3 linked regions of the Arabidopsis thaliana genome follow. Each later gene encodes a partner of the first gene's protein in a complex. Each region holds a gene or a part of one and is shown in the gene's direction. Other genes may lie near its edges.

Region 1 (7,883 bases):
TAGGAACATCTCAGAAAAATATGTATTATAGAAAGAGGAAATTCGTTTATTGATAAAACAGAAGTGGCTTATCCTTGTAACTAATCATGAACAAATACGAATATCAAAATCTAATATTTATAGACAGAAATTGAGAAAGATGGAAGACAGTTACTCGTACTACAACAACAGAAGTCACATAATAGATTTATGTAGACATTATTTACATGCAACTCTCACGAATAAGTAAAATAGACAATACGCGAGCGAGCGAGCGACCGAGACAAAAGGTTTGGGAATGATAACACTTAAGAAGTAGAGTTTGATCTGGTGAAGGAGGATGATGAGTTGATGAACTGTATGCAGTCTTCTATGGCCTCTGATCGATGACTGTCATTGTTTATTGGGATGATTGGTGGCTGAGACCTCCCAGAAAAAGAAGAAACCTTCGACGGTGGAGATCTTTTCTTCTTCCTCATCACCACCAGACGCAAACCTTTTGCAAATTTGCATCCAAGATGCTTGATCAATTTTGCTGCTGTCACTTCTGTTTTCCTCGGTAACCTTAATCCGCAGCTTGTTGTGCATCCCGGACTCTTACCATAAGGTCCCTTGATAGCTGTTTGCTTAGCCGAAGCATCTCTCTGAACCGGTCTAGTGTTGAGGTTGGACCGTTTTATACCAGTAGCTGACATATCAAGAGAAAGATAGAGAGAGTGAGAGAAGTTTATGGGAAACAATATGAGGATAATGAGAGATATTTAACGGACTGGTGCTGAGAACAGTTGTGCTGATAGTTCAGGCAAATACGGGAAAAGACATGAAATGATTAATGATGTATATTATCTATAACATCATTACGCTTAGGCCATGATTAAGCACTCAAGACATAAACAAATAAACAACTAACAAAAAAGTGTAACTTCAATCTTATTTTAGACCCTATATATAAAAAGACTTGTAGTTAAAGTGGATCTACAAATTTATAAAGAGAACTATGCCCAAGAGCAAAAAGAGAAGACTAGGTTTAGTTTTTTCTATTTTTCTTTACGGTCCACAGAGGGAATAAACCCTTTGTTTAAGTGAAGAAAAAGGTTAAGCAACCATTTGGTATCATTCTTCTTTGATGATCACTCATGTGTGCACATAAGTTACATAACAATCTAAAAAAGTTTCTTTTTGACTCCAGGAGAGGCCAATATAATCTTACCTTTATGGATGCAGATTCCTTTCATGAGTCTGCGGCTACAATAAAAAGGAGGGATCAAGGAAAGAACAAAAAAACAAGTTAATGGTGGGTACAAGAATATGAGAAAGCATATAATAAACCAGGGAGTGTCAGGACATAAATAGAAGATCACACAATCTGGAGAATAGAGTGATTTTACATGTGAAAACATTCCATTGAGAACAGAACAATAATACCTGCATGATTGTCAGTGATTAGATGCAAATAGCATGAGATTGACTGATATGTATAGCAGGTTACCAAAATGCCAAAAGGGAAAAGAATGCAATAGCAAAACTGCTCTGTCTCATCGTTATAACAAGAGCACAATAGACTTAGCACCAACCGTGTACATACCATTTTACCCAAAACGATCAGAGAGAACATCTTTTCTGCACTGTGATGAGCATGATTCAAGACACATTAATCCAAACGCTCAATGAATATGGAGATCACTGGTTCCAAACGAAAATCACACATTGGTATCATCAAACATGAAATAAGAACCAAAGTCTTTAACCAGCCTGCAAAAATATTCGGCAGAATCGCAGGATATAGGACTGTTCATGTCTGAGACAGAGCATACTACCATACCTAATCAGAGCATGGTTCAAACAATAAATCAACAGTAAAGTGATTCACATTAGAACATTAACCCTAAGAACCCAATAGCTTGATTCAAGAAACTGAATGAAGGAAAGAAATGAGAGATGTTTTAGAAACATGTACAAAGGTACAGAAGGGGTAACACCGAATATCAGCTAGAAAGAAGCAACAAATCAATTCACAAACGAGACATACATATAGACATAACATATACTTCACCAAATTCATATTTTGTCATCAGCCATTTCCTGGTGTTCTAACACCAACAAATCTGATGATAAGTAAAGCCTTAGAAACGCCGCACACTTGTGAAATTCAACAACTTTTTGCCATCCTCAACATTCACGGCGATAATCACGGCCATAGCTGTAGTTTGGCCTAGCTCCGAAATCACTCTCAGACCTCTCTGCAGCAGCTCTCTCTTCCTCTAAGCTCAATCCACCCATCGTCTTCTGCAACTGCCTGTGATCATAAGGAGAGTAATCGACTGGTGCCGATGGACCATTAGGCACTCCGTAGCTAGACAATCGCGAGCCCATAGGTGGAGCTTGTGGCTTGTACTCGGTAACCAGAAAGGCATCAACGGGTGCTGAGGGCCCACTAGGCGGTGGACCGTAGTTAGAAAACCGAGGAGGAGCTAAAGGAGGCTGCTTGTGATCAATCGATGAGAAGGCATCAACGGGAGCAGATGGGCCACTTGGGAGGCCGTAATTGGAGGCACGATCGTACATTGAACGTGGTGGAGGAGGCGGATAATAATACCCGGAATAGTAGTGATCAGTGAATGCGTAAGGAGACGGAGACGGTGACTGTGAGAATTCTCTGTAGTCACGCTGAGGAGATGGAGCGGTGATCGGTGCTTGAGGAGGAGGAGGAGGAGGAGGGCTAGGGGAGTAATAATGGTTTCCTTGAGGGGCAGAATAGTAATCTAGTGGTTGAGATTGAGGACGTGGCGGAGGATGCTGCGGTGGAGGGATTGGTCTGTCTTTGATCGCGAGCTTCAAACGAATCTTCCCCTGTGGTCGACCCGATGGACGAACCAGCTCGAGCGAGTTGATCAATTCCGGAATCATTGACCCGTCCGAGTCAATCAAACGAGCTAGAGGAAACCTAACCGATCCGACGAGGGTTTTCGCCAGATCCGAAGAATTGGAATGAAAAACCTCGATGTTGAGGACCGATTCGTGGACAGATCGGGTGAGAGGAAGAGTAATCCGCTCGTTCCACACCGGTTTGATGGAGGAGGAATCATCGGAGCGGGTGGAGAGAGGGTGGTCTTGGTCAAGATACAGAACAACGTAGGGTTTCAGGTCACCGTTACGCCAGTTGACATTCTTCAGGTGCTTGGCAGAGACGACGGTGACAACCAGGTCGAGTGGCTCCGACGAAGTCATGAATACGGTGCGTTTCAAGACGAGACGGTGGCTTACGCGGTGGTCTTAGCTAACGTGCGCTCGTATCTCAAATATCTGTATCAAAGTCTCAGCTATCATCAACTATCATCGTTTTATCACAGAGTTTTATGTCTCAAAAAACCTGCTGGCTATATAAGAGGCTTTTGACTTTTGGAGTTTGACTCTTTCTTACTAGCGACAGCTGGAGTTATTCATGAACAGGATAGTTATATCCTTATGTCCAAACAGATGCATAAATTCTCACCAAGCACAAGATAGGCATTTGAAGAGTGGATAACACTTTCTCAGTCTTTCTTCTTCTTCTTCGTTGTGATAGGTCAGGTCAGGGAACAACAATGGCTTCTTCTGCAACAGCACCAAATTCGCTATCTTTCTTCTCATCTTCTCTCTTTTTATCCTCCTCTCACCAAATCCCTAAAACCTACATTTCCGTTTCAAAACTCGGCTCCGGCAGAGTCTCGAAGCCGCTTTCTGTCTCTTCCCAGCTAGCGACTCTACCGATTCTATCATTCGAAGGAGAGAAGGTCGGAGAGACGTATCTAGACCTCAAAGCGGCGCCGGAGGATACCGCGCGTGCCGTTGTGCACCGAGCCATCGTGACGGACCTGAATAACAAGCGGCGAGGTACTGCTTCCACACTGACTCGCGGTGAAGTTCGTGGTGGTGGAATTAAACCTTACTCACAGAAGAAAACTGGCCACGCGAGGCGTGGATCTCAGAGAACACCGTTACGTCCCGGTGGAGGTGTGGTGTTTGGGCCAAGACCTAAGGATTGGTCAATTAAAATCAATAGGAAGGAGAAGAAGCTAGCGATATCTACGGCGTTATCGAGTGCGGCATCTGCGGAAGGTGGTGCGATAGTGGTGGAGGAATTTGGGGAGAAGTTTGAGAAGCCCAAGACTAAAGATTTCTTAGCTGCGATGCAAAGGTGGGGATTGGATCCCAAGGAGAAAGCTATGTTCTTGATGATTGATGTGGATGAGAATGTGGCGAAATCGAGTAGGAACATTGGAACCTTGAGGATGTTGACGCCTAGGACACTGAATCTGTTTGATATTTTGAACGCTGATAAGCTTGTTCTGACTCCTGCGGCTGTGGAGTTCTTGAATGCGAGGTACGGTGTTGATGCGGTGGAGGAAGAAGATGACGATGAAGATGAGACGGAAGGTTAGTGTTTTCTTGAAAGGAACTGGCTTGTTGTCGAAATTTGATGTTTTGAATGTTGTGTTTGATCGTTTTTGTCTGGTTTTAATTTCTTGAAGAGGTAGAAATATGATGTGTTAATATGGAAAAGTAATTATTTGTTTGTGTTATGAAGGGTCAGAGGAAGCTTAAGAATGAGTAGCACCCGTAGTTCCAATTGCTTCAAGTGTGGCTTAATTATGAGTTTAATCTTGAGTACATCTTCTCACTCTCCTTGATGAGGTCTTCTCTTTCCTTTTTGTGTCACAACAAGAGAAATGTGTATTTACTTTTAGAGTTTTTCTTAAGAGATCATCCTCAATTTCTTGTCATACTGATTTTGTGTCCAACTCTCAATGAAGGAGTAAGGAGTGAAATTAGATATCATGAGTAACGTTGATTGTGTGTGTATCAGTTAAGATTGAGCAACAAAGATTGACTTTAGTCATCAAGTTAACAAGAAAGAGTGGCTATTATAAGCTTTAAGCGTTGATGTTCATCTTGGTTTTGAAAATCATGAATAGTCTCACACAAATCTGTTAACAACTTGCTAAAAAAAAGGATTAGCTAGAAAACTTAGGAAGTGTCAATAGTGTATGTTATTTACAGACATTTGATGGGTCTTGGTGGGCTTAAGAAGATAGCCCAATCTTTTGAAGAAAGAGATATGAGATGCAAAATCCATGAACTTTAAGGGTCAATTTCTGAACCAGTAAAAAATGTGGTTAAAAGTGTAAGAAAACAAGAATCTTTGGAAACATGTGTAAGAAAGCAACTAATTTAACTCCCGCCCTCTCTTACCAGTTTTCTATTTTGTCTTCTCCGTCCTTACCGTGTGTTCTGAAAACTGAAAAAGAACCAAAACGAAAATCTAAAAAAACCCTTGAAAAATCTATTTTTTATTGACTGGTTATTGTTTCAAATGAAAGCTTGACCTCTCTCTTATTGATCAATTTTCGCTTCTTCAATTAAACCATATTTGTTTTTCCCTTTCAAGCATTTTGATTCTCTAGGACAAAACACAAACCGCCATAGACAGAATGCTTTGGGTTATTATCTCTCAAAGTGTTCTGAGAATTTGAACTGTTTAAAACATGGGAATCGATGCCAAAGATGTCGGAACTCTGTTCTGGAAAATTCTCAGATTTTCCACGAACATCGTTTATAGAAACGTAAGGAATCACCCAGTTGTTTCTGGTGTTTCTGCAATTATCTTCCTCCTATACATTTTTCTTCCACGCCTTTTTTATTTCGTCCTTTACTCTTCTCCGTTAATCGCATGCTCTGTGTTTTATCTTCGGAATCATCCAAGTTTTAAGCTTTTGCATATCAAAACGGATAATTGGTTTTCACCATTTTCCCAAAAGAGATCTGAGGAGGAAGAAACAAGGAAGGCTGACTTAAAGCACCAACGAAGTGTTCGACGAAACGCTAGAAGGAAAGTTGAAGAGGTTGGGAAAGATTGGGACTCTTCTCAGGCTAGTGAAGATGAGAGAGACAGAGTCATTTTAACAACTCTCTATGGTGAAATTCCCAATACTGCAAAATCTCCCAAACTTCAGAAATTCAAGAAAGATGGAGCCTTTCTTGTGTCTGAAGGTTTCTCCTTTGAGCCTAGCTTAGATGAAGAAACTCTTTCAACCACCGGGAATGTTTCCGTTGTGGATCCATCGGAGAGGTTGACTAGTGGTGGTGGCGAAACCGAGATCGAGTGTTCATCGTCATCAGAAGGCGAAGAAGAAGAAGAAACTACACGTGAAGACAAAAAGATTGTAGCTTGGACAGAGGATGATCAAAAGAATTTGATGGATTTAGGAAACTCTGAGATGGAACGTAACAAGAGGTTAGAGCATTTGATTACTAGAAGAAGAATGAGGAGATTAGTCCGACTTGCCGCTGAGAGTAGCTTAATGGATATGGAAGTTCCTCCAGTCTGTGTTGGACGGAACTATTTCGGTTTGGATCAAGAAAACTATATAGTTGATGGTCTTCAAATGCCTGAATCTGCACCTTCTGTGTTATTACCAACTAAAAACCCTTTTGATATTCCTTATGATCCACAAGAAGAGAAGCCTAACCTCTCAGGAGATAGTTTTCAGCAAGAGTTTGCAGCCAACCCTAATGATATCTTCTTCTGCCGCCATGAAAGCTTTTGTCGCAGAGTCTTTCCATTGGACAATCAGCTTGACACGAAATGGGAACCGTGGAAAAAGAAGTCAATACCACAACAAGGTACATCCTCTTGTCATTCTGAAAAATGTTGTAGCTTACAAAGTAAATGATTCTAAGTTCTACAATTCTGATCCTTGCTCATGTAGGTAGCAATGATGGATTGGTTGGGGAGAAACATCCTGTAATGAAAGGAAAAGATCTAACAAGAGGAGAAGTAAATGATATGGAGTCAGAACACATGACAGAGATTGTTGTTAGTGATTCAAACTCATTGCTTTCTCCTGAAGACAGGGAAATGAATTCTGATGTCTCAAATCAAGCATATTTTTCTGGAACTTCTGGGAAAGGAAATGGTGATCTTCGTGTTGAAAACCCTTTAGTTGGTTTAGTTCCTAGAAACACTGGTTCGCTTTCGAGTTCTTTAGCAGCGGAAAGGCAAAGATACGTGGAGCATTTTGGTTATAGCTCAAAAAAAGGTCATAAGTTATCTGTAGAATCTGATCTTCAAGTTGAGGTTTCTGAAATTGGATCACCTCCCACTACAGTTGATGGGAATAATTCTTCTGATGAAGAAAAATCACGTATTGTCAACGAATCAGACATTGGGAAGGAGACGGGATTTAGTGGTGAGGAGAGCATTGTGGATAGAACTGAAGAAACTCAAATGTTACCAGTGGAGAAAGTTGATAAAGATTTAAATGAAACGATTTCTAAGGTCTCTCCAGAAACTTATGTAGCCAAACAAGTTGAGGGTCTGTCTGATGGTACTGATATCAACGGAAGATCTGAGGAAGAAGAGAGCTCAAAATCCGGACGCTTTCCACTGGAAAATTCAGACAAAGGATTCTATATACATGAAGAGTCAACAGTTCCTCACATCAATGAAGTTATTTCGAGAAGAGAAGAGGTTATATAGTTCTTGTTCTTGTCAGGTTTTATGGAAATATGATTGCTACTTGCAATGTGTTTCTCAAAATGTTGAATTTGAATATATTCCTTGTACCGTTATGACAGGAACGTGTCCAAAACTTGACTGATGAGATGAAGATAAATGATGACTCTGATGAACCTGAAGCCTTTGAAAGAAGAACAAATCAAGAACCCCAAGAACATTTTGGGGGAAATGATGGAGACCAATCAACTCAAGAGTTGCAAGAACTTGTGGAACCTGAAGTTTCAAATGTGAACAATGTCACATCAGACGAGTCTGCTACTTCCCCAAGATCAGTGTTACCAGACATGTTGTTATCTTTAGACCAGACTTATACTCTGACTTCTGAGAGTTTGGAACATACATTAGA
Region 2 (7,436 bases), on another chromosome or scaffold:
AACGTTGGAATTTTATGGTAAAAGTTCGTCTTCAATTCTTACGAAACTCATCATAGCTATCAATATCATACCTATTAAAATCATTAGAATCGTCTAGAAACCTTTTTTAAAAGAATTTACATCGTCAGGTCTTAAGAAACAAAATATTTATTATTTACCAGATACAGACATAAAAGCTGACGTGTTGACATTTTAATTTGATGGAAAACGTATAAATGCACGACACGTGCTCCTACTGGACCACTTGATAAGTTACGTAACTTATCAAGCTTACCGAAACGAACACGTGATAACAGAGAACTAAATTCACAATTTTTGTTATTGATAAAAGAAAATATTTAAATTTTGAAAAAGTAATATTAACATATACTAGAAGCTATATAATTAGCAAATAATATAGAAATGAACTACTTATCTAATTTTAGTTCTAAATTATTTACCAATAATTTGTTCATATCTTGAAATTGTTAATTGTATATCTTAAATCTTTGACTGAATTTAACTCTTTTAATATTAAAATAATTAAATAATTAATCTTAAGGTATTTAATAAATAAAAATTACTAAAAAAACTACAATAAAAGATCTATATCCAATAAGAAAATTAATAATTATATTGATAATTAGGGAGCATATGCGTTATTATAAATTACAACCTAACCTACTTTACCGACCCAAAGCCTAAAAAATCCGACCTTTTTTTGTTTTCTCTCTCTAGAAGTCTCTCTGTTTTCATCTTTCTCTCTCTCTCTCTAGCTCTTCTTCCTCGTTTCTGGCTTTTCTGGGAATTTTGATCCTTTGGCCCCCATTGCTCGCTTGAATTACGAATCAGATATCGCCGATCGTCGTAGATCTGCGTTGATACTGTCCGGCTGAGTAAACAGGGTGAACAAAAACCAAAAACAGAGAGGGGGTTTAAAAATCCTGAAGAAAATCGCATGAATTTGTTTGGAAGCCTGATTTTTTCATCTTCGATTTCGAGCCACTTCACGACTTGTCTTCTCATCTTTATTCTTCATTTCTCTCCCCAGCTTAATAGTAATAATAATAATAATAATAGTAATCGTAATTCCAATAATCTCGAGAGTAATCGTTTGATCAATTGAAAAAAAAATCATGGAGTCCAGGAAAAACTCTGATCGTCAAATGCGTAGAGGTACTGTTTTCTTCAACCTCCATCGAAAAGTCTGTTACTTTTTTGTGAAATCGCTTACGGATTGTTATCGTTGATGTATAGGAAGGATCTAGGGTTCTTACTCTAGATTATAATCTGGGTAATTTGGTTTATCAAACAAAATTTGATTTTTTTTTTAATGGGTCCTCAATTTTATCCCTCGTGCTGAATTCTCTGTCGGTGATTTGATTCCTTCGTGGCGTTTACTTGTTTGGATGTATCTGCTGATTGCCACAAGTTTTGTTTTTGTGGGGTTGTTTAATTCTGATAATCACTATTGTTTCTTTGTTAGAAGAATTGATACTTTATTGGACTTTGGACGGTCGTTAATTCGTGTGCTTTGTTTTCATATAGCTAATTGCTTTTCAGCTGGTGAGAGGATGAAGACAAGGTCGCCCTCCGTGATTGTGATCGGAGGTGGTTTCGGTGGGATTTCAGCTGCTCGCACTCTTCAGGATGCTTCCTTTCAGGTTTGTGATGTTTCATGTTTTATACAATATATCCTGATAGCTGATTTTGATATCTCTTTCTCACGGTGTGGTTCTTGGTGTTTAGGTTATGGTACTGGAGTCCCGTGACAGAATTGGTGGACGAGTTCACACTGATTACTCATTTGGTTTTCCTGTTGATCTTGGTGCATCATGGTAATCTCACGGCTCTTTCATCCTGTCATTAGATGATGTTTTGGTTTTGGTTTTTGGTTAACTTTAGGCTAACACAGCAACATCGTTATGTCACAGGCTGCATGGAGTATGCAAGGAGAATCCTCTCGCACCAGTTATTGGAAGACTTGGACTGCCCTTGTATCGTACTAGCGGTGACAATTCCGTCCTGTATGATCATGATCTCGAGAGGTTTGCTTGAATATTTCGATTTTGTTACCTCCATCTTTTTATTCTTGTTTGACACCTTAAAACTCACAGTGCAATTCTTTTGTTTCTGTAGCTATGCTCTGTTTGATATGGATGGCAACCAAGTTCCTCAAGAATTGGTAACTCAGATTGGCGTAACGTTTGAGCGTATTTTGGAAGAGGTATGTCCTTCACATTCATTTAGATTTCTTCTTTATTCCTATTCTCGTATTTCTTGATGTTGCAAGTCTTTGATTGATGCTCATGCTAACTAGATTCGTCTATTGCAAACACAGATCAATAAAGTCAGGGATGAGCAGGATGCTGACATTTCAATTTCTCAGGCTTTCTCAATTGTCTTTTCTAGGAAACCCGAGCTGAGGTTTGTATACATAATGTCTCATTTTCTCAATTTCTTTAGGCAATGCACTTTTGCAAGCTTGGTTTCATGGTTGAATTTTGAATTTTCACATCCAGGTTAGAGGGGCTTGCACACAACGTACTTCAATGGTATGTATGCCGCATGGAAGGATGGTTTGCCGCAGATGCTGAAACCATCTCTGCAAAGTGTTGGGACCAGGTTAGTTACATTCTTTCTCTCGTAGTTAAGAGTTTTTTTTGTATAGACTGCTTCTTGAATTTTTGGTTTAACACTCCGAGAAATGTGCAGGAGGAATTGTTGCCTGGTGGACACGGTCTTATGGTTAGAGGGTATCGTCCTGTCATCAATACTCTGGCGAAAGGTCTTGATATCCGAGTAGGCCACAGGTAAGCTTTTGCGTTTTTCAAGAGTTATGGCATTCGTTTAGTGTTTCACAGTCATAACCTCGTGTTTCTCCTTCTCTCAGGGTTACTAAGATTGTCAGGCGGTACAATGGAGTGAAGGTAACGACAGAAAACGGGCAAACTTTTGTTGCGGATGCTGCAGTCATTGCTGTCCCTCTTGGAGTTTTAAAATCGGGAACCATAAAGTTCGAACCTAAGCTACCTGAGTGGAAACAAGAAGCAATCAACGACCTAGGAGTAGGTATTGAGAACAAGATCATACTACATTTTGAGAAAGTCTTTTGGCCGAAAGTAGAGTTTCTAGGAGTGGTAGCTGAAACCTCCTACGGTTGCAGTTATTTTTTGAACCTGCACAAGGCCACGGGTCATCCGGTTCTGGTTTACATGCCGGCTGGTCAGCTTGCCAAAGACATTGAGAAAATGTCTGATGAAGCAGCTGCAAATTTCGCCGTCTTGCAACTCCAGAGAATTCTTCCCGATGCATTGCCTCCGGTACAGTATCTCGTGTCGAGGTGGGGATCTGATGTGAATTCAATGGGATCTTATAGCTATGATATCGTGGGCAAACCTCATGATCTCTACGAGAGGCTTAGGGTTCCAGTGGATAACTTATTCTTTGCCGGTGAAGCGACGAGCTCGAGCTTCCCGGGCTCGGTTCACGGCGCTTATTCAACTGGATTGATGGCAGCTGAAGATTGTAGGATGCGAGTTCTGGAGCGGTATGGTGAGTTGGATCTGTTCCAGCCTGTGATGGGCGAGGAAGGACCTGCCTCTGTACCTCTTCTTATATCTCGTCTCTAAACTCCATCAGTTATCGTTTACTAGAAGGAACCTCAAGTGATGATTGTCTTAATATGAAACTAAAATTATTCTCGTGTCGGATCGTTTAAAACATTCCCAGTCTTATTTTCTCAGTGTTTTTAATTCAATAAATTGGAACATTATATCCTTGTGATATTATTTATATATGATAATCATCTTTAAGAATTCAAGTACTATTTTCTTTTCTCACTTGTGCTAACTAATATAAACACCAATCTTGAAAGAGGTTAAATTGAATACAATAAGAAGAAAAAATACAAAATGAATAAAATCAGATTTAAAGGACCGATGTTGCAAAAGGTAAACCACCGTGTTTTGTAAATATGAGTATCTTCAGCGGTATAATAATAAATTTCATAACTGGAGAAGAAGATAAGAGTGTGGCACAGAGCTTTATCCTCTCTCAGAGTTTCTTCTCCTCTGTGAATCTCCGACAATGGCGATAGCTATGGCGGTTGTTTCTTTCCCATCTCTGCTCAACAAAACAACCTTATCCTCTTCACTCTTCACTCCCACTTTCCTCCCGGCGAAATCCTCTTCACTTCTCATCAAATCATCACCAAAAACCAGATTCGTGGTTTCATCATCCATGGAAGCTGGAATCGGAGTAATGGGGTCAAAACTCGGGATGATGAGTTTCTTCGAAGAAGACGGCACAGTAGTTCCAGTAACAGTCGTCGGATTCCGCGAAGGTAACATCGTAACCCAAATCAAAACCCTAGCCACAGACGGTTACGACGCGGTTCAAATCGGTTACCGTCGTGTACGCGACAAAAAGCTAACTAAACCGGAAACCGGTCATCTCCAAAAAGCCGGTACAATCCCAATGAGACATCTCCAAGAGTTCAGATTAACAAACATCGAAGGATTCGAACCGAACCAGAAGCTTGTGTTCGATGAGATATTCAAAGAAGGTGATCTCGTTGATGTAGCTGGAACCACAATTGGTAAAGGGTTTCAAGGAGGAATCAAAAGGCATCATTTCAAGAGAGGTCAGATGACTCATGGTTCCAAGAGTCATCGAGCTTTGGGTTCGATTGGTGCTGGTACTACTCCGGGAAGAGTTTATAAAGGGAAGAAGATGCCTGGAAGAATGGGAGGGACGAGGACAAAGATTAGGAAGCTTAAGATTGTTAAAGTTGATAAGGAGCTTAATGTTGTCATGATCAAAGGTGCTTTGCCTGGTAAGCCTGGGAATCTTCTTCGTATTACTCCCGCTAAAATCGTCGGAGTTAACATTCCCAAGAACTAGTAGAGAAGAGACTCTGTTTTGTTTTGTAATGTTGACTTGTGTTTATCCATTCCTTGAAAATTTGTATCGAATTGCTAAATCACAGTTTCTTTCTTAGAATTGGAGTTTTTGTATAAGTCGGAAGTATTTCTATGCTAATGTTCTTGAATTGTGATTCAACTGCGATTACAAAACTCGAAAGCGTATCCAAAATTCAGCATCTAAAGTTCTAAACATAAAGAACTAACGAACAATGTAATATATATTTAGTTTGAAGAAATTAAGAAGGTTTAAAATTGTACATGAGATGACAGACAAAAAATGAACATATGAATATAAATCTTTATGATGGATTTTTAAAGAATGGTTGAGAAGCTTTCAATAGGATCAGACTCTTCAAGCATAGAAGCAGCTTGGAAGCAATCAGTAGCATCAGCTATACGTCCATCAGATTTATGAACCATTCCTAAGTAATACCAAGCTTTTCGGTTTGTTGGATCGATCCTCAATGCATCAGAGAGCAAACTTCTAGCCACGGGGAGAGTTGGCTGATGATCTTTCCCTCTTTCGGACAATAACGCTCCAACCGCTACTTTGCAAGGAACCGATGATCCGTCTAGTAATAAACCGTCCAAGAAAGCTGCTAGCGCGGGTTTGAACTCCTTTCGTCCTTCCCACATTCGACCTGATCATTCCCAAAGATTCAAACCAAATTTGAGTAAATCAAGTAATGGATGATTCTAAGAGATTAGTTAAATGGCTTCTTGTTCTTGCCTTCTGTATGCAACATTGAAGCAGAGTATTGTTTCAGCTCTCCGGCTTTTTTCAGACAGACTTCTACGTCGTTCCAATGCGAAAGGCTTGAGTAAAGATAAGCCAAGCCATGCCACACTTCAAACTCATTCACTTTGTCTTCCTCCATCTGTGTTATTGTACAAGTTCTTCAATAAAAAAAAAAAAAGGTTTTGATTGATGATCTCAATAGATTAGAGAACAAAAGAGATTTTGAAACCTGAGAAAGAGTTCTGAGAGGTCCGAAAGATTTCCTTTGCGCTTGAACCAATGCAAGAAGGTAACGATAAGTCTCAACGGCTTCTGTTGGATTTGACTGAGAGATTTTCAGCTTTGCTTTGAGTCTCAAGAGAGGTCCCTGATCCCACTTTGCAGTTTCATCTAAAGCAGCATCAGTCACAACTTCTGCTTCTGAAAACCGTTGTTGAGCTGACAAAACAAGCGCGAGAAATCTCCATCCTTTTAACACTGACCCTCCCGTTGCATCGATGAACTCTTTGGCGTAACGGGAAGCAGCTTTTAAGTTCCGTTGCTCAGCGTATTGAACACCTAACTCAAAGATCAAATCAGGATTATTGTGCTCAAAAGCTATAGCTCCATCTAATGCTTTCAATGATTCTGATTGCAGCCGAGATCTTTCAAAATCCGATGTCGGAACCTTCGCTTGTTTCCCTAAACAAAGTCCTAACATCCTCAAACCAACGCCTTTCAAATGCTCATCCATACCTTGAGCATTGTTTATCGCTCTCTGCGCATAACCCGTACCTTCAGCAGCTAAAGAAGGCTCTTCACTGCAAAGCTTAGCAGCTAACAAAAGCGCCACAAGATCATCGGGTTGTTCGTGTTTATGCAGAGACTTTCTAAGAAGGTTAACTGCAGCACTGTTTTGACCTGCTGCACTATAAGAAAGAGCCAAAGTGTTCCAACGCTCAATACGGCTAAACACACCAGGCATTACTTCTTCAAGCTGCTTGGCGAGAACCGCGGTCTGACTACATAAAGATAACGCAAAGGTAAGGTGCTCAAACACAGACGGATCCCATTTCGCTTTCCCGAGGTTAAACTTCTTTAAAAGAATCATTAGAAGAAGAATGGCTTCTTCTATGTTGTTTCTAGGTATGTACGATCCCTCTATCTGAGAACCTAAACTCGGTGGACTCGCTTCGACTCCAGAATGTAAAAGAAAGACTGCAAAATCTTTTTGAATCCTTGCACAACAATCATTATCAAGATTCCATTGGCTTAAAAGCGCGCGTCTATAAGCAGATATGGCTTCTTGATAATCACCAGATTCTTTCCATAGCGCAGGAAGTAGTTCAACGGCGTGGCTAACGGTTTCTTGAAGTTTGTTATCCACTTGAGCATCTGGTATCCCTTGCTGAAATATCTTCTCAACAGAATCAAGAACACTCTTGCATTCATGAGCAGCCTCTACAAGACCAAAACCCAGCAAGGGAAGATTTAGATTTAAAGACTGTACCAAGATCAATGCCTCAGATTCACATTTTCAAAGGTGAAAGGGAATGATACCAGTTATTCTCCCAAGCTTTTGAAGGGATTTGGCTTTCAAGTAGATAGCTTCAAGGACCAAGTTAGCAGCATGCTGAGAAACTGATTGCTGCGGTTCACGGGGACGGTTTTTCTTAGTAGCCGGTTTCTCAAGAGGCACGGAAACCTGTAACCGCTGGATAGCTGCTTGAAGGTCGATACCTTCAAAGACACGAAGTGCGCCTTCTAAATTCCCTCTTTGGTATTCCAATCTTCCAAGAAGTGCTCTTGCT
Region 3 (8,216 bases), on another chromosome or scaffold:
GTCTGAGGAACCTACCACAGAGGTTGAGAAGAGCCCTGTTGCTGAGAAGCAAGGAGGTGAGGATGAAACCCCTGAAGCAAAGAAAGAACTCACTGCGGAAGAGAAAGCACAGAAAGAAGCTGAAGAAGCTGAAGCCAGGGTACAATCATTTACAGCTCTTGAAACATCTTTTGAGGTTTAGTTAAGTTTGAAGTAGAATGTTTGCTAACATTTTGAACTGATATGGTTTTGTCATATAGGAGATGACTCTAGAAGAGTATGAGAAAATTCTGGAGGAGAAGAAGAAGGCTCTGCAAGCCACAAAGGTTGAGGAAAGGAAAGTTGACACCAAAGTGTTTGAGTCCATGCAACAGCTCTCTAACAAGAAGAACACCGATGAAGAAATCTTCATCAAGCTGGTCAGAAAATCATCTACTGTTCAGTTTATCTATTCCCTTCACTGTAACGGAGCAATAGTTAATACTTGGTATTTTATTGTTTCAGGGATCTGACAAGGAAAAACGCAAAGATGCTACTGAGAAGGCCAAAAAGGTCTTAGTTCTTTCTGTTCTCACTTCATGATTTCTTTTGGGTTGTGTCATTTTTTTACCTGAGTGATTTTGGGTGATTTTGTAGTCGTTGAGCATTAATGAGTTCTTGAAGCCGGCTGATGGAAAGAGGTACAACGGGAGAGGTGGAGGCTCCCGCGGAAGAGGAGGTCGCGGTGGTCGTGGTGAAGGAGGAAACCAAAGGTATGCAAAAGAAGCTGCAGCTCCGGCGATTGGAGACACAGCTCAGTTCCCTTCGTTGGGCTAGTAAAGACCCCTGGTCCTTCAGCCTCGCTATCTCTGTCTTTCGTTTCTCTTTGGTTGAATTTTGTTAGTTTTATAATTTTTTGTTACACTTTCTGAAGGTCTTTTCTGCGAAACTATTACGTTTTTTAAGTTATGAAAAAAATTATTAAGATATTTTTCTCTCTAATTTTGGTATTACACATTCGATCTTTCTTTTCGTACATCATAAATGAAGTATATTTCTAATAGCACGATATCTAGTATCTTTCATACTTGAGCGATGATTTAGAATCGTCGAAGGCATTAAAGAGTGCTCTACATTATTTGCATAAAAGACCTTTTACTATATAGAAGTTATGGGTTTCAAACTTCAACGTACATCAGAAAAGAATCGGATCAAAAGAAAGCAAATGAAAAACAAGCAAAAGGATCCAAAGAGTTGTTAATTTGGAGAAGTCTAACATGCAATGCAAACAAATGATCATAATGGTGTGATGATCGAAAGAGGAGTGGTGACTAATTGAATCAAGAAGAACAACAGCCTGATTGCTGGTTCACTGGCTGTCCACGGATCTGGACCGTTGGTGGCTTGGCACCTCCAGCTGGTTGGCTAGCCATTCTGCGAAAACAACAAAACCTTTTAAGTATGGAAGTAAAGGGTTAATGACTTCACAAGTAAAATTTAGTTTCTAACCTTGTCTTAATTGCAGCAGTCATAGCCATGAAAGCTTCTTCCACATTGGTTGCATTTTTAGCACTTGTTTCCAAGAATGGGATCCCAAGTTCATCTGCAAAAGCCTGTGGGACAAGGAGATGAGACAACAAAAATGTTATTCTCTTTAAGACAAGGTTTACGTGGATAGAGAGTTCACCTAGTTTATTATAAAATTACCTTAGCTGTCTCAGTGGATACAACTTTCTGTGAAGTGAGATCGTTCTTGTTCCCAACCAGTAGCTTGTTCACATTTTCGCTAGCGTAACGGTCAATTTCATTCAGCCATTGTTTGACGTTGTTGAAGCTCTCTAGGTCTGTGACATCATAAGTGACCTGCAAAGATAGGCAATTGTGAGCAAGAGGTATAGGATGTGTTATTTAACAAGAAGATGATTGGTTGGTTAGAGTAAGAGTACATACAATGATCCCATGAGCTCCTCTGTAGTAGCTGCTAGTGATTGTCCTGAAACGTTCTTGGCCTGCTGTGTCCCACTGTATACACAGGCGATTACCAAAACAAGAGTAACTATCTGCTCTTTCCAAAATTTTAACAGATTATGATTGCATATCTAGCTGAAGAACACTTACGATCTGGAGTTTGATGGTCTTTCCGTCCTGCTCAACTGTGCGAATTTTCTGCATGATATCATTAGTAAAGGTTAACACTTATTATTCTGATTCCTGTATATAAATGAGTGATGAGCAAATGAAGGTGCTTACAAAGTCAACACCAATGGTGCTTATGTAGCTATCCAGGTAAGAATCATCCTGTCCACATAAAATTCAAGATATCAGGAAATAAGAACACAAAGGAGTAACAATGATACCATAGTGAGAACTAAGCTAATCCAATGGAGTAATGACTTTTGAGTTTTGAGTCTTGAGCAACAGGTATTGAACTCCAAGATGTGATCCTCAAATTTTTGTGTGTACACAATGTTAAAAAGTAACTACCAGAGATGATGAATCCAGAATTGTGGGAATACTTACAGCAAATCTTAGAAGCAAGCATGATTTTCCAACACCAGAATCACCAATAAGCAGAAGCTTGAACAGATAGTCACTGCAACAACAGAACGGTAAACACCAATCTCAGTGAAGCTCATAAACTCATGAAAATTCGGGTCAGGAAATAAAAACGCAAGAACATCTATATACAATATGCTAATGAGATCAAAGGGAAAATTGTGTCACACTCGCGAATTTCAACTACAACAGTAAACAGAAATTGCAGATCTCGATCAAATTTCCTCGGATCTGACCTGTATAAGATCCATGGAACGAAAATCCAAATCTATACAAAATTCTAATACAAAATACCTTAAACGAGCAAAATTAGGTAGATTCAATTCACAAACCTAACAACCAACAAAGATCCAAAGCAAAATCGAACAAAAACCAAATCACCAAACACATCAAAAAATAAAAAACGCGGATCGATCCGAAACAATAGATACATGAAACAACGAGAAGACAAGTTTCTTACTATTCAGGATTCATTATCCCTCAACGAGAATCTGACGATTAAAGGAATCTCCGGCAGTCAATTCAGCGATCGTCGTCGGCCAAAAAAACGAGAGAGACGTGAATGTTCTTTTTTTTTTCTTCTATGTGGCTTTGGCTTATTAAGTGCTCTTTTTGTCAATGACACGGTTAAGAAAAAAGAAAAAAAGGGACCCACTCTTTTCGACATTTAAATGCGTTTTGGTTTTGATGTTTGAATGCTGACGTGGCCGAGCCAACTCAGAGAGATGCGTGGAGGACAAAAGAATCAATCAATCTTTTTTCTTCTTCTTTGTCGATTTTTGTTCTTTTCTTTTTTGATTCTATACAATCGGAGAATAACTATCTTTAGGAGATTAAAATTTCGTATCCAATTAATGTAACTTTTTATATGTATGCTAATATTACGTACTGTTGTCAAGCTTTTAATTAAACCACCTGTAAGAGAATATATATTCGTTTCACAAAGAAAGAAGATGGAATATTTTGATTATTATCTTTTTGGTATTCTGATTAAACTAACATATAATAGCTTTTCATCGCTTGCGGTGTAAGTCAATGTAACGTGAACATGTAGACGACTTGAATATACAACATAGTCACATAGAATAATATTTCAACTCCAGCAGAAATTTATTCGTCAATCATAACTTTTAAAAGGCCCAAAGTAGATTATTTAGAGCTATCAATTTAAGGACACATAAACATACATTTGTTTGTAACAGAAACTCTTTATTTAAACCATTTTTGGTTCTACATTAGTGTACTTGGACAAGCCTTGGTTCGTGGTGGTAGACTGGTAGAACCAGCTTTGGTAATGGGTTTCTTGTTATATCAATTGAATATGGGCCTAAATGTCTAGGCCCATAAAATTAGTAAATGGCCCATAAATTGAAATACACGGAGCGGATAAGCGATAAGGCTCTTCTTTACTCTGGTTTCGAGTTTGGGTTGTGCAAACATGGCGACGAGCTCTCATCTTCTTCCTCAGGTTCTTCTTCTTCACTCTCTCACGCTCAATCACATTTTCATACTTATGCTTCTTTGAATTCTGTATTTATCTACCATTTATGGAACCAGGCATTGCATATGATACCGAGAACCCCTTCTTTCTCGTCGAAGAATTTAGGGGTTTCTTCAATTCTACCACGAGCATCATCAGTGAACTCAAGACTATCAGTTTCTAGGGTTTTTCTCAATCATTCGAGCTCCAATTTTGGTTTCGCCATCGATTCCAAGAAGAGAAAAGAGTTTATCGCTAAAGCTGAAGAGAGTACTGAAGGTGAAACTGAGGCTGTTGTGGAGAATGCTGTTGAAACTGAAGCGGAAGGAGAAGGAGAAGCCACTGTTGCGGCGGAGGAAGCTAAACCTCCGTGGAAGACGAGAGTCAAGCTCGGAGATATCATGGGGGTTAGTTCATTATCCAATGTGATTCTATGAGATTGTCTAGTGTTTTGTTTTGGCTCTGAATCTGATTATACATGTCTGATACTGTAGTTGTTTTGGCTCCTGTTCTTAAATCATCAGTTATCTTTTAGGCATTGGAGAAATGAAATGTTGATTTGCTTTTTGTTTCTGTAGCTACTGAACAAGAAAGCTATTGAGGTTGCAGAGACTGTAAGACCGGTTCCTGGACTTAGGACTGGGGATATTGTAGAAATCAAACTGGTAAAACTCATTGTCCCCGTATAATCTTATGCAATTTATGCATTTAACTGCAAGATTTTGATACGACATGGTGGGTTTGATTTTACAGGAAGTTCCTGAGAACAAACGTAGGCTATCTATCTACAAAGGTATTGTGATGTCTAGACAAAATGCAGGCATCCACACTACTATCCGTATCCGGAGGATTATTGCAGGCATTGGTGTTGAAATCGTCTTTCCCATGTAAGTTTATTCTTCCTTAACTATCCTATTATCACACACTTACTCGGGTATATTGATAAGTATAAATGTAAATAGTATTAGATAGTCAGAGTTAAGGGTCTTTGACCTTGTTAAGGAGTCTTTTGGCTTTGAGAGAGATTTTAGGAACTCTAAAACAAACCGGAATTAGCTTCTTTTATCGTGAACAGTCATAGTCTTCGCTTCTTGAGAACTTAAGAGATTTACAATTCTATATCTGATCATATGTATTAGCTTTCTTCACGAAAAAAGGAAATAATTGCTACTCCAAGTATGATACTATAGGAACTAGTACATAAATGCTGGAAGTCTTAGCATTATAGGTCACCAAGCTTTGTGCTTATTTACTACAGAAACGCGCACCAACCTTTAATCTTAATCACTCTAGAGTCTAGCCGTTATCATAACATACTAGTCCCTATGAACTTTCCAGTACTATTGGCTGATTCTACAATGAAGTAATATGTAACTGATATGTTTTGATCTTGAACAGATACTAATCTACACAATCAAGTAATATGTTTTGATCTTGGTTTAGAATATGTATCTGATGTGATGTGTGTTTTGAATTTAACAGATACTCTCCCAACATAAAGGAGATAAAAGTGGTAAGTCACAGGAAAGTGAGAAGAGCAAGACTTTACTATCTGAGGGACAAACTTCCTCGTCTCTCAACTTTTAAATGATCACCAAACCCAACACCAGTCTTGTCTTGTGTTGTCTTCAATCTCCAAAGGTAGCTAGCTACTCTCTTTTCTCTTGTAATAATTGTTTGTTTGTTTCGTCTTTTGGATTTCATTTCTTTTCATGTAATTTACAGTAACAGTAATTTAAGAAAAGTAAATCAATGTTGATTGTTTTGATCTTGAGTATGTAGAATCTGGACCCTTTAGTATTCTTTTTCAGAAATATGACTGATTTAATCATTAAAATAAAACTTTTGAATCATTGAAATTGCTTTTCAAAATAGATTTTTTACATGTAAAATCATGTAATTCATTCATGTAAATGAATTTTCCAGCTAAAGCAGGAAAAAAGAAACGAATGATTGAGTATTTTTCTTGTCTCTTTCCTCTGTATGATGACTTTTATGTCCGATAATTAATTACTTGCTAACAATCAATCATTAATGGACACGGAGAAATAAATTTAAAATATCATCAATCGTGAGAGACGAAAAATGGCCTACCACCCTGAAAGCTCATTATAGCCTTTTTAGCCACTATATAAAATCAAACACCAATCAATATCTGCCACGTCATCATCCTCTTTTTTCCAGCCTGTCGCTTTTAACCTTTGTTTTTTCGTCTCTTACAATGCACAACTGTTTTCACACGTGTCACATTTTTCCCTCTCTTCTCTCTCTTTCGCTCTTTCTTCTTCCCCGCAGTTCCCGGAGACGACGCCGGAGGAAAATCGTACGGAAACTTTGCTTCGACTTCACGTGGCCGCTCCACGAAGCGCCTTTGGGTTTCGTCTTCCCCGTTTCTCTTTCTCTCTCTTCTTTTGCCTTTGTTACCACGAATAGAACGAGAGGAGAGAGATAGGAGGAGAGTTTTGGGATATTGGTGGAGAGCGATTATCGGGAGAGCCAGAGAAAAAAATAAGCAGCTTCTTCCTCCCTCATCGTTGGGACCGTGACTTTTGTTTTCTTCAGGTTTGATCCGTCTTTTTTTCCTCTCTTCATTTCTCAGTTTTTCCCCTCTTTTTACCTTTTCTGGAAAAAAGTTAGATAAAATCGGAATTGTTTGGATTAGGGCTTCGATTTTTTGATGTTGTTGTATACTTTTTTCAATAGAGATTTGATTGTGAAACTTTTGTCGTCGTAGCTTTAAGCAAACAAAAAAAAAAGATGACCGGCGTTGGCGAGAATCAGCTTATCTCCATTCAACCTGATGAACTCAAATTTCTCTGTAAGCATTCTTCTACACTCTCTTCGTTAATCAATGGCATGCATTTGTCTCATCTATACTTGGTTAATTCTAGGGATATCTATTCTTAATTTGTGAAATGTGAATGAGAAAAGGCTTCTCTCGAATTTACCATCTTTTTGTTCTCTAGAGATTTCGAAATTGTGTGTATCATCAATGCTTGTTTTCCTCTTGTTTACATACACCAGCATCAAGTTTTTGTTAACTTCTTTGAGCTTTTGAGGTTCTGACTTTAGATAAGGCTGATTCTCTTGGTTATTAAGAAAATTGCTGTTTGAAACTTTTTGGAGGGTCTTCCTTTGGATGACATTTGGAATTTTTGATTTTGTTTCAGTTGAACTTGAGAAGCAAAGCTACTGTGATCTTAAAGTTGCCAATAAAACAGAGAACTATGTTGCTTTCAAGGTAATTTCTGCATCAAACCACCAACTTCATATGCTTTGTCTTGTGATCAAGTTATTTCGTTTGTTACAATGGCTTCTTTCTTTTGTGTTTTTGGCTTCATCAATCAGGTGAAAACAACATCTCCAAAGAAGTATTTTGTAAGACCTAACACTGGTGTCATTCAGCCATGGGACTCTTGCATCATTAGAGGTATAGTAATTCCTCATACTCTAACTTCTTTCATTAGCAGTTTAAAACTTGAACATGGAGATGATTAAGATCTTCTTAATTATAGTTACTCTACAAGCGCAACGAGAGTATCCTCCAGATATGCAGTGCAAAGACAAATTTCTCCTGCAAAGTACCATTGTACCTCCACACACTGATGTGGATGAACTTCCTCAAGACACTGTAAGAAATCCAAGTTTAAAACTTTTTTTATTAAGATTCTTCTTGTTTCTGCAGTTTTTGGAAAACAAATTGACATTATATATGCAATACTTGTGTGTCTAGTTCACCAAGGACAGTGGAAAGACATTAACAGAATGTAAGCTCAAAGTCTCTTATATTACCCCGTCTACAACCCAAAGATCCTCTGAATCCGGAGCAACAAATGGTGATGGACAAAGCTCGGAAACCATCTCTGTGAGTACCCACCTATATTATTTAATCTGCATGTGGTAATGATTTACTTAGTATGTTGACGTACCATGGACCTCTTGCATAGACAGACACCTTATGAATAGTCCCTTTTTTGTGATACCTGTCTGCAAGAATTATTATTCAAAGTTTCAATCAAATTTTAGACTTTCTAGTATTCGCACTTTTGGTTTTCAAGCTATAGATACTGTAATGACAGACTGAGTTGATTGGTTGGGACAGTGAGACATACGCTGGTTTTCAAAGCTTTAATTTTTTGTTTGGGTTATTATTATACCTTTCTTCATAAGGTGAACAAATGTATCTCACAGAACCTCACAAGTGGCCACATTCATATCATAA

The links. The genes of interacting proteins can lie anywhere in the genome.
Region 2: RPL4 (region 1) and AT2G43030 share a complex: the UniProt entries of both Arabidopsis thaliana proteins name them as parts of the 50S ribosomal subunit.
Region 3: RPL4 (region 1) and AT5G47190 share a complex: the UniProt entries of both Arabidopsis thaliana proteins name them as parts of the 50S ribosomal subunit.

The regions. Positions count from the first base shown.
Region 1 is NC_003070.9:2,245,627-2,253,509, forward strand, and holds RPL4 (ribosomal protein L4), read left to right. Parts: upstream 1-3,340; 5' UTR 3,341-3,563; coding exon 3,564-4,395; coding exon of another isoform or gene 4,396-4,400; exon of another isoform or gene 4,401-4,546; coding exon 4,547-4,563; 3' UTR 4,564-4,903; downstream 4,904-7,883. Other genes in the region: AT1G07300 (josephin protein-like protein), read right to left, coding at 288-667, 1,190-1,379; AT1G07310 (Calcium-dependent lipid-binding (CaLB domain) family protein), read right to left, coding at 2,149-3,207; AT1G07330 (dentin sialophosphoprotein), read left to right, coding at 5,505-6,642, 6,729-7,489, 7,597-7,883. UniProt on the Arabidopsis thaliana protein: This protein binds directly and specifically to 23S rRNA. May play a role in plastid transcriptional regulation.
Region 2 is NC_003071.7:17,890,830-17,898,265, forward strand, and holds AT2G43030 (Ribosomal protein L3 family protein), read left to right. Parts: upstream 1-3,966; 5' UTR 3,967-4,068; coding exon 4,069-4,884; 3' UTR 4,885-5,053; downstream 5,054-7,436. Other genes in the region: PAO2 (polyamine oxidase 2), read left to right, coding at 1,116-1,155, 1,528-1,643, 1,729-1,817, 1,914-2,027, 2,119-2,206, 2,321-2,406, 2,502-2,604, 2,695-2,792 and 1 more; NPG1 (tetratricopeptide repeat (TPR)-containing protein), read right to left, coding at 5,220-5,548, 5,638-5,785, 5,876-7,086, 7,186-7,436. UniProt on the Arabidopsis thaliana protein: One of the primary rRNA binding proteins, it binds directly near the 3'-end of the 23S rRNA, where it nucleates assembly of the 50S subunit.
Region 3 is NC_003076.8:19,161,801-19,170,016, reverse strand, and holds AT5G47190 (Ribosomal protein L19 family protein), read left to right. Parts: upstream 1-3,881; 5' UTR 3,882-3,952; coding exon 3,953-3,982; intron 3,983-4,071; coding exon 4,072-4,401; intron 4,402-4,572; coding exon 4,573-4,659; intron 4,660-4,747; coding exon 4,748-4,881; intron 4,882-5,476; coding exon 5,477-5,585; 3' UTR 5,586-5,833; downstream 5,834-8,216. Other genes in the region: AT5G47210 (Hyaluronan / mRNA binding family), read left to right, coding at 1-139, 240-398, 484-531, 616-795; RAB1A (RAB GTPase homolog 1A), read right to left, coding at 1,299-1,392, 1,468-1,571, 1,666-1,821, 1,909-1,980, 2,077-2,124, 2,209-2,256, 2,479-2,551, 2,975-2,988; AT5G47180 (Plant VAMP (vesicle-associated membrane protein) family protein), read left to right, coding at 6,752-6,812, 7,165-7,235, 7,343-7,424, 7,510-7,625, 7,728-7,859. UniProt on the Arabidopsis thaliana protein: Located at the 30S-50S ribosomal subunit interface and binds directly to 23S ribosomal RNA.